Ovis aries: one gene and its partner. The main gene of each other region encodes a partner of the protein of the gene in region 2 in a complex. Links are inferred from orthologs where the notes say so. Each region holds a gene or a part of one and is shown on either strand. Other genes may lie near its edges. The genes, in order: ASB7 and LZTS1.

Region 1 (3,817 bases), on a different chromosome or scaffold from region 2:
ACTGGACATGGAACAACAGACTGGTTCCAAACAGGAAAAGAAGTACAAGGCTGTATATTGCCACCCTGCTTATTTAACTTCTATGCAGAGCACATCATGAGAAACGCTGGGCTAGAAGAAGCACAAGCTAGAATCAAGATTGCTGGGAGAAATATCAATAACCTCAGATATGCAGATGACACCATTCTTATGGCAGAAAGTGAAGAAGAACTAAAGAGCCTCTCGATGAAAATGAAAGAGGAAAGTGAAAAAGTTGGCTTAAAGCTCAGCATTCAGAAAACGAAGATCATGGCATCTGGTCCCATCACTTCATGGGAAACAGATGGGGAAACAGTGTCAGACTTTATTTTTCTGGGCTCCAAAACCACTGCAGATGGTGACTGCAGCCATGAAATTAAAAGACCCTTACTCCTTGGAAGGAAAGTTATGACCAACCTAGATAGCATATTCAAAAGCAGAGATATTACTTTGCCAACAAAGGTCTGTCTAGTCTAGGCTATGTTTTTTCCAGTTGTCATGTTTGGATATAAGAGTTGGACAGTGAAGAAAGTTGAGCACCAAAGAATTGATGCTTTTGAACTGTGGTGTTGGAGAAGACTCTTGAGAGTCCCTTGGACTGCAAGGAGATCCAACCAGTCCATCCTAAAGGAGATCAGTCCTGGGTGTCCATTGGAAGGACTGATGCTGAAGCTGAAACTCCAATACTTTGGCCACCTCATGCGAAGAGTTGACTCATTGGAAAAGACTGTGATGCTGGGAGGGATTGGGGGCAGGAGGAGAAGTGAACGACAGAGGATGAGATGGCTGGATGGCATCACTGACTCGACGCACATGAGTCTGAGTGAACTCCGGGAGATGGTGATGGACAGGGAGGTCTGGTGTGCTGTGATTCATGGGGTCGCAAAGAGTCGGACACGACTGCTGAACTGAACTGAATTGAAGTGAACTGAGCAGTTGAAAAGAACAGAGAAAACCTATATATGCTTCCCAGGTGGCACAGTGGTAAAGAATCTGTCGCCAATGCAGGAGAATCAAGAGATGTGGGTTTGATCCCTGGCCAGGAAGACTCCTGGAGGAGGAAATGGCAACCCATTCCAGGATTCTTGCCTGAAGAATTCCATGGACAGAGGAGCCTGGCAGGCTACAGTCCATGGTGTCACAGCGAGTTGGATGTAACTGAGTGACTAAACACACACACACAAACTGGCATGCATAACTATGGGATAGGTGCAAGACTTCTTCGTGGGACAAGACTTCTTTTCGGGGTAATGGAAATGTTTCAAAGTTGGTTGTGGTGAAAGATGCGCAACTCTATGAATACATCAAAATCTACTAAATTGTATACTTGAAAAGGGCAAATTGTAAGGTTTGTGAATTATTTCTCAATAAAAGCTGTTAAAAAAATATCTATATACACATATATACAGAAACAGAGAGTAGGGTTTGGGGGGAGAAATAGAGCTCAGCAAACTGGACCCAGAGGCCAAATCTAGAACACCACTGGTGTTTATAGATAAAGTTTAACCAGCACACAGCTACATTCATTCCTTCACACTGTATATGACAGCTTTCATGCCACAAAGGCAGAGCTGAGCAGCTAACAACAGAAAAAGAAGGGCTTGCAAAGCCCCAAATATTTACTATCTGGCCTTTTACAGAAAAAGTCTGCCAACCTAACATTTAAAAAATTCTTAAGTTACATATAGCTGAGCAAAAAATAACAGTTGCAGAATTTTAACACAGTCAGTATATAATTTATATTCTAAAACCACAGACAACACAATAAGATGTATTTTCTAGAAGTATGTTAGGAAATGATCTAGAAAAATAGGACCAAACCAAACTTAGAGCCATGAGTTACTTCCAGGCAGGGGTGGGCAGACACGGGTTGGGAGCTGACCAAAGGGGACTTTGGCTTTATTTATAATTTATTTGAAATTGTGTTTTATTTGTTTTAAGGAGACAAGTTCATACATTACCTGAGTAACTGACCTTTCCTTTTTAATTAGTTTGTTAAAAGCAAGGCTGACAGATGCAGAAAGTAACACAACTAGGCAGAATTTGAAAATCTGAGTCTGTTCCTTATTTTGCTGAAGCAGTGTCAGAATTTTAACTATTCTGACTCTACACCCACTTCTTAGTTTTTCCAGATCTTTCTTCTGGCATTCCTCATACAGTACTCCTTCACGGCCTTCCGCACTGACGTTTTCAAGTTTGAAGGCGAATTGAGGCATGAGCAAGGGCCACAGGGAGGGGCATAGGACAGCCACAAAAGAGGCCCAGGCCAGCGAATGGTGGGGTCCTGTCAATGGCCAACTATTTTGGGGACATAATTCTTATTTCAGGGCCACTAAGACATGTGATGATTCCTAGTCTCAGTTTAGCAGTGCCCAGCAGTTAGTCCACGCTCACAGCCTTCATATTCCTATCTTCACATAATTCACAAGACCCTAATGACAGCTGTGCGACTTCTAACATTTTCTGTACTTCAAAATAGTTTCCAAGTTTGACTAGTCAAAAGTACAGCACAGAAATGGAACTAAATGATTGTTAATAAGCAATCCAGGCCCTAGAGTAGTACATAATGAATCCTGAGTTCCAACTAAGCTGCTTTACATCATAATTTATGAAAATAATATTAGTACAAAAAAATATGTTTGTTCATCTTGTACACTTGTACAAGTGTAAATCTAGGAAAATAAATTAAGTGGAAATCTAATACGGAAACAAGTGAGTTTAAGACAATTATTAGTTACTATTAATTATGGGAATGGACAGTTTTTCAAAGCAAGAACATAAAATGGTAAATGTAGCTTCCAACTGCATATAAAATTAGACCTCAGATAATCTTGTAGGATATCTAGAAACTATGTACAATTCTAGAAAAGGCAAGAGCTAAAACAGTAATAAAAGCATCTAAAAATGCTTTTAGAAGAGGTAAATTCAAAAGATAGGGTATCATGAAGGCCATGGTATTTATAGGGGCCTATGGTATCTCTGTCTGCTTGAGCAATTCTCAACAGGGGGAACTTGAGCAATTCTTAGTTGTTGGGACCACAGCCACTTCTGCTTCTGAAACAAAGCAAGTGGACAACCTAAAGAAGGGTTGCTTTTAGTTGAAATAATCTGGGGAAATCTGGCTATATAGAAACTAGAGTTACAAGGGGAAAAAAAGCACATTCATCAAACCAATTTTTTAGACAACCTGGTTTTAAACAAAACAGCATAATTATAACAAAGGAGAGAAGAAGAAGTCGAGTATTAGAAAAAACATATACACATGCACACATTACTTTAAACTAAACAGAATTTCATTTGTTTCTTCTTGGGGAAAAAAGGTTTGCTCCCAGTAAACTCACCTCCATGCTCTAGAAATACTCGAACACATCTTTCCTTTCCTCTTGCTGCAGAGAAATGAAGCAGGGTCCAGCCATTAGCATCTCGGCCATTTGGAGAGTAGCCTTGCTCTAACATCTTCCGCACTGTGTGAACATCCCCGGCAGCCACTGCAGCTTGAATCTGCAACTCTTCCTGGAGTTCAGGGTTCCTTCGACAATGGTGGTGTAACATCCTAGCTGAGTCCACGTTTTTTTACAAAGGATTCATTAGGTCACAGGGATCAGCCTTGAAGGGTAGGCACAATACATAAAATTTAGAATACCGGACACCTGACAGTGTGTTCATTAAATACGCCAGAATTTTCCACTGCTAACTCATGTAAGGCTCAGTGATGACATTTCATACCATAACAAATTAACATGTATCTGTTTTGCCCAGAACTTTCAGCAATTTCCCTAAGATTATAAAAGATTTCAAA
Region 2 (3,817 bases):
GCTACTTTAGCCTTCAAGATGACAATGCATGTTTGAATCTGAGCCTTCATCTTCAGAGTCTGAAGAGTCTTCTGGCTCCCTCAGCTGTGCCCATAATACCCCCTTCTCACCCACGTGGGATGTCTTCTGCCCCTTTCAGGTGACAGGGTAATTTAGAGCAGAATAAAGAATGCAGGGTTCCTTCTGCATTTCCTATTTTATTAAACTCGCCGTGTCCCTCCCTTCCCCCCGCTTCTTAATTGAATCATCTGTCTTTTGACTGACTGAGATACTCCTTCTCAATGCATGGCAATCACACAGCATTTCCAAGCTCTGAAAATCAGGTGACCCGGGCTTGAGCGATTCGCCTACATCCGCGAGGGTGTCCGCACTGCCTTCTGGTGCATTCCTCTGTCTGGTGACTGGCAAGGCCGTTGTTATCGTTTTCAGCGTTGATGATAAGATGCAGTGCTGTTACTTAAAAAAAAAACCCTAAGTGTATCTCAGAATTGGTTTGTGACACTGAAGGTAAAGATGTAAGAGAGTTTGCCTTCCACATCATAGCTGGCAGGGAGCATAACTGGGAATCCAAACCAAGTCGCCCATGTTACTATTCATTGTTCAAGAGTACAGTTGTTTCTCTCTTCTTCTTGTGAGCCCTCTCCAGTCAGGCCTTTGCTTGCACCATTCCACCAAAACCACTCTTGTCAAGGTCACTGGTGCCTCCGCACAGCCAAATCCATTGACCAATTCTTAGTTGCCATCTTAGTTCAGCATCACTTGACACCATCTTCATCCTTACATTTCACGGGTCTCCTGCATGTCTGTCAAAGATCCGTTAGTGTCTCTTCCTCATTCCCACTCATCTTCCTGGCCTCTGTGAACCAGTCCTCATATTTCTCTTGCCTTCTTGCCCTTGCTTTTTCATCTAGTCTCAGACCTAGCTCCGAGACTGTGCACAAACAACTCACACAGGGAAATCTGCAGCCTGCCCTGCTCCACACCCATCCTACTCCACATCACTGCTTGGATCTCTAATGGGCTTTGCAATCTTAATGTCTTAAACCAAAGTACTATTTCCACCCCCTCTTCATCCTAAACTGGTTCCTTTTGTGGTCTTTTGCATCTCAATAAATGGCAACTTACTTCTTCTGGATACTTGGATAAAAAACATTGAAGTCATCCTAGATTCCACTCTTTCCCTCCCTGCATTCAATCTTTTAACTAGTACCATCAGCTCAACCTTAAAATTACATCTGAAATTGAATCCAGGGCTGCCCTGCTTGCTCAGTGGTAAAGAATCCACTTACCAGTGCAGGAGACATGGGTTCAATTCCTGGTCTGGGAAGATCCCACATGCGGCAGAGCAACTAAGCCTGTGTGGCACAAATATTGAGCCTGTGTCCTAGAGCCCAGGAGCCGCAACTACTGAGCCCAGTTGCCACAGCTACTGAAGCCCGTGCAACCCAGAGCCCATGCCCTGCAACGAGAGAAGCCACTGCAATGAGAAGCCCGTGCACCGCAACTAGAGAAAAGCCCACAAAGTCGCGAAGAGCCAGCACAGTCAAGACTAAGTAATTAAAAATAAAATTGAAGAGAAATCGAATCCACAGCCAGCACCCTAGCCTAGCCATGTTAGTCACTCAGCTGCTGTAACAGGCCCAGCACCTCCAACTCAAGCTCTTCAGTGGCTCTTTTCTGTACAGCAGCCAGAGTGACCCTCCACAACCCAAGTCAGACCAAGTTGTCAGCTGCTTAAACTCATCTGGGGGCTTCTTATCTCAGACTAAAGCCAAAACCTTTATGGCCAGTCAGGCTCTCTTTTGCCTGGCACCTACGAGCTCTCTGACGTCTGTGTCCTCCAAACCCCCACTGCTAACTACCTTCCAGCCAGACTGGCCTCCTTGCTGGTCTCACAAATGCCCAACACATTCCACTCAGGGACTCAGGGCTTTGCACTTGGGGCTACCCCTGAGCTTCCTCTTTCTCCCCACAGATCTCCTTACATAGCTTTCTCCTTCATTTTCTTGGGGTCTCTTCAAATGACACCAAACAGAGAGGTTTCCTCTGTTTTCCCTGCATAAAAGAACCACTTCCCCTTCCTGGTGGCTCAGACGGTAAAGAGTCTGCCTGTGGTGTGGGAGACCTGGGTTCGATTCCTCGGTCGGGAAGATCCCCTAGAGAAGGGAATGGCTACCCATTCCAGTATTCTTGCCTGGAAAAGTCTACGGACAGAGAAGCCTTACGGGCTATAGTCCATGGGGTCACAAGAAGTCTGAGTGAGCGACTAGTACAACAGAATTCCATCCCATTCACTTGGCTTTATTTCCCCTGAAGCACACAGATCACTTGAGGTCACACACATTGATCTGTTTATGGCCTGTCCACCCTTCACCACACACAAGCCCCGTGAGTGCAGGGACTGGAACTGTTCACCCCTGCATCCCAGTGCTGAGAAGCGAGCCGTCTCAAAAAAGACGTGGGACATACATACAATGGGACATTACTCATTAAAAAGAATGAAATAAGGCCATTTGCGGCAACATGAATGAACCTAGAGAGTATCATACTGAGTGAAGTAAGTCAGACAGAGAAGGAGAAATATATGACATCCCTTTTATGTGGAATCTAAAAAGAAATGATACAAACGAGCTGGCTTACGAAACAGGAAAAAACTAACAGACTTAGAAAACAAACTCACAGTTGCTGGGGGGGAAGGGATAGTTACGGACTTTTGGAAGGTCATGTACCCACTGCTATATTTAAAGCAAATAACCAACAAAAACCTTTGTACACCACATGGAACTCTATTCAGTGTTATGTGCCAGCCTGGATGGGAGGCGGGTTTGAGGGGAGAATGGGTCCATGCATATGTATGGCTGAGTCCCTTTGTTATTCACCTGAAACTATCACACGTTGTTAATCAGCTATACCCTAATACAAAATGTTTTTGGTGTTAAAAAAAAAGAATAAAAATTAAAAAAAAAAAAAAGAAGAAGAGAGTCATCCCATTGGAGGCTTCCAGCAGATGTTTGCTGAATTAGAGGACAAAGGAAGAATGAGAGGGGAGCCCATTGAGACAGAGACAGGGCTGAGCCTCTGTTAGGGGAAAACACGCATTTTGCTGCTGCCCAGATCTCGAGGTTGGTCACGAGTGGGGATGTGCCATGGCCAGCCCATCCAGGCTGACTTCTGCTTATGTCTCCTTCCAGGTCTCAGCTCTCCCAGGCTCTGTGAGGCTTCTGCTATGACTGCAGTCTCTTCTCGGAGCCAGGACTGCCCCTCACCGCCCCTGCCACGCCAGGTCCCCACTCTGCCCCAGCTGTCCTCGGCCCCCGTGTTGCCATGGGCAGCGTCAGCAGCCTCATCTCCGGCCACGGCTTCCACAGCAAGCACTGCCGGGCCTCGCAGTACAAGCTGCGCAAGTCTTCCCACCTCAAGAAGCTCAACCGCTATTCAGACGGGCTGCTGAGGTTCGGCTTCTCCCAAGACTCAGGGCATGGCAAGTCCAGCTCCAAAATGGGCAAGAGCGAAGACTTCTTCTACATCAAGGTCAGCCAGAAGGCCCGGGGCTCCCACCGCCCTGATTACACGGCACTGTCCAGTGGGGACCTAGGGGGCCAGGCAGGGGTGGACTTCGACCCGTCCACCCCCCCAAAGCTCTTGCCCTTCTCCAATCAGCTAGAGATGGTAAGTGGAGGGGTCTCTGGTGTGGGTGGCTGGATTGGAAAGTCAGGAAAGAGGCCTGGGGCTGAGAGCGGCGGTGGTGAAGGTCTTAAATGCTTACATCACTGAGAACGCTTATATTACTGAATGATGCAGAGAGGGCAGGAGTGCT

The links.
Region 1: the proteins of LZTS1 (region 2) and ASB7 are in contact, whole or in part, in a crystal structure (PDB 8Y1U), measured with the Homo sapiens proteins. The link is inferred for Ovis aries from reciprocal best matches to the Homo sapiens genes LZTS1 and ASB7. Residues at the interface, in NP_001349813.1 of Homo sapiens: Arg346, Glu348, Leu349, Leu352, Met353, Glu355, Gln356, Leu358, Leu359, Glu360, Lys362, Leu363, Arg364, Ser365, Tyr366; in NP_937886.1 of Homo sapiens: Asn46, Trp48, Ala56, Ile79, Phe82, Tyr87, Met90, His91, Asp116, Trp118, Val123, His126, Tyr127, Ser147, Lys149, Thr151, Gln155, Leu156, Ile159, Arg160, Phe182, Arg185, Tyr186, Ile189, Lys190, Arg210, Leu220, Leu223.

What each region holds. Positions count from the first base shown.
Region 1 is NC_056071.1:5,418,495-5,422,311, forward strand, and holds part of ASB7 (ankyrin repeat and SOCS box protein 7), read right to left. Parts: intron 3,625-3,817; 5' UTR 3,571-3,624; coding exon 3,360-3,570; intron 1-3,359. UniProt on the Homo sapiens protein: Probable substrate-recognition component of a SCF-like ECS (Elongin-Cullin-SOCS-box protein) E3 ubiquitin-protein ligase complex which mediates the ubiquitination and subsequent proteasomal degradation of target proteins.
Region 2 is NC_056055.1:45,556,916-45,560,732, forward strand, and holds part of LZTS1 (leucine zipper putative tumor suppressor 1), read left to right. Parts: intron 1-3,191; 5' UTR 3,192-3,324; coding exon 3,325-3,669; intron 3,670-3,817. UniProt on the Homo sapiens protein: Involved in the regulation of cell growth. May stabilize the active CDC2-cyclin B1 complex and thereby contribute to the regulation of the cell cycle and the prevention of uncontrolled cell proliferation. May act as a tumor suppressor.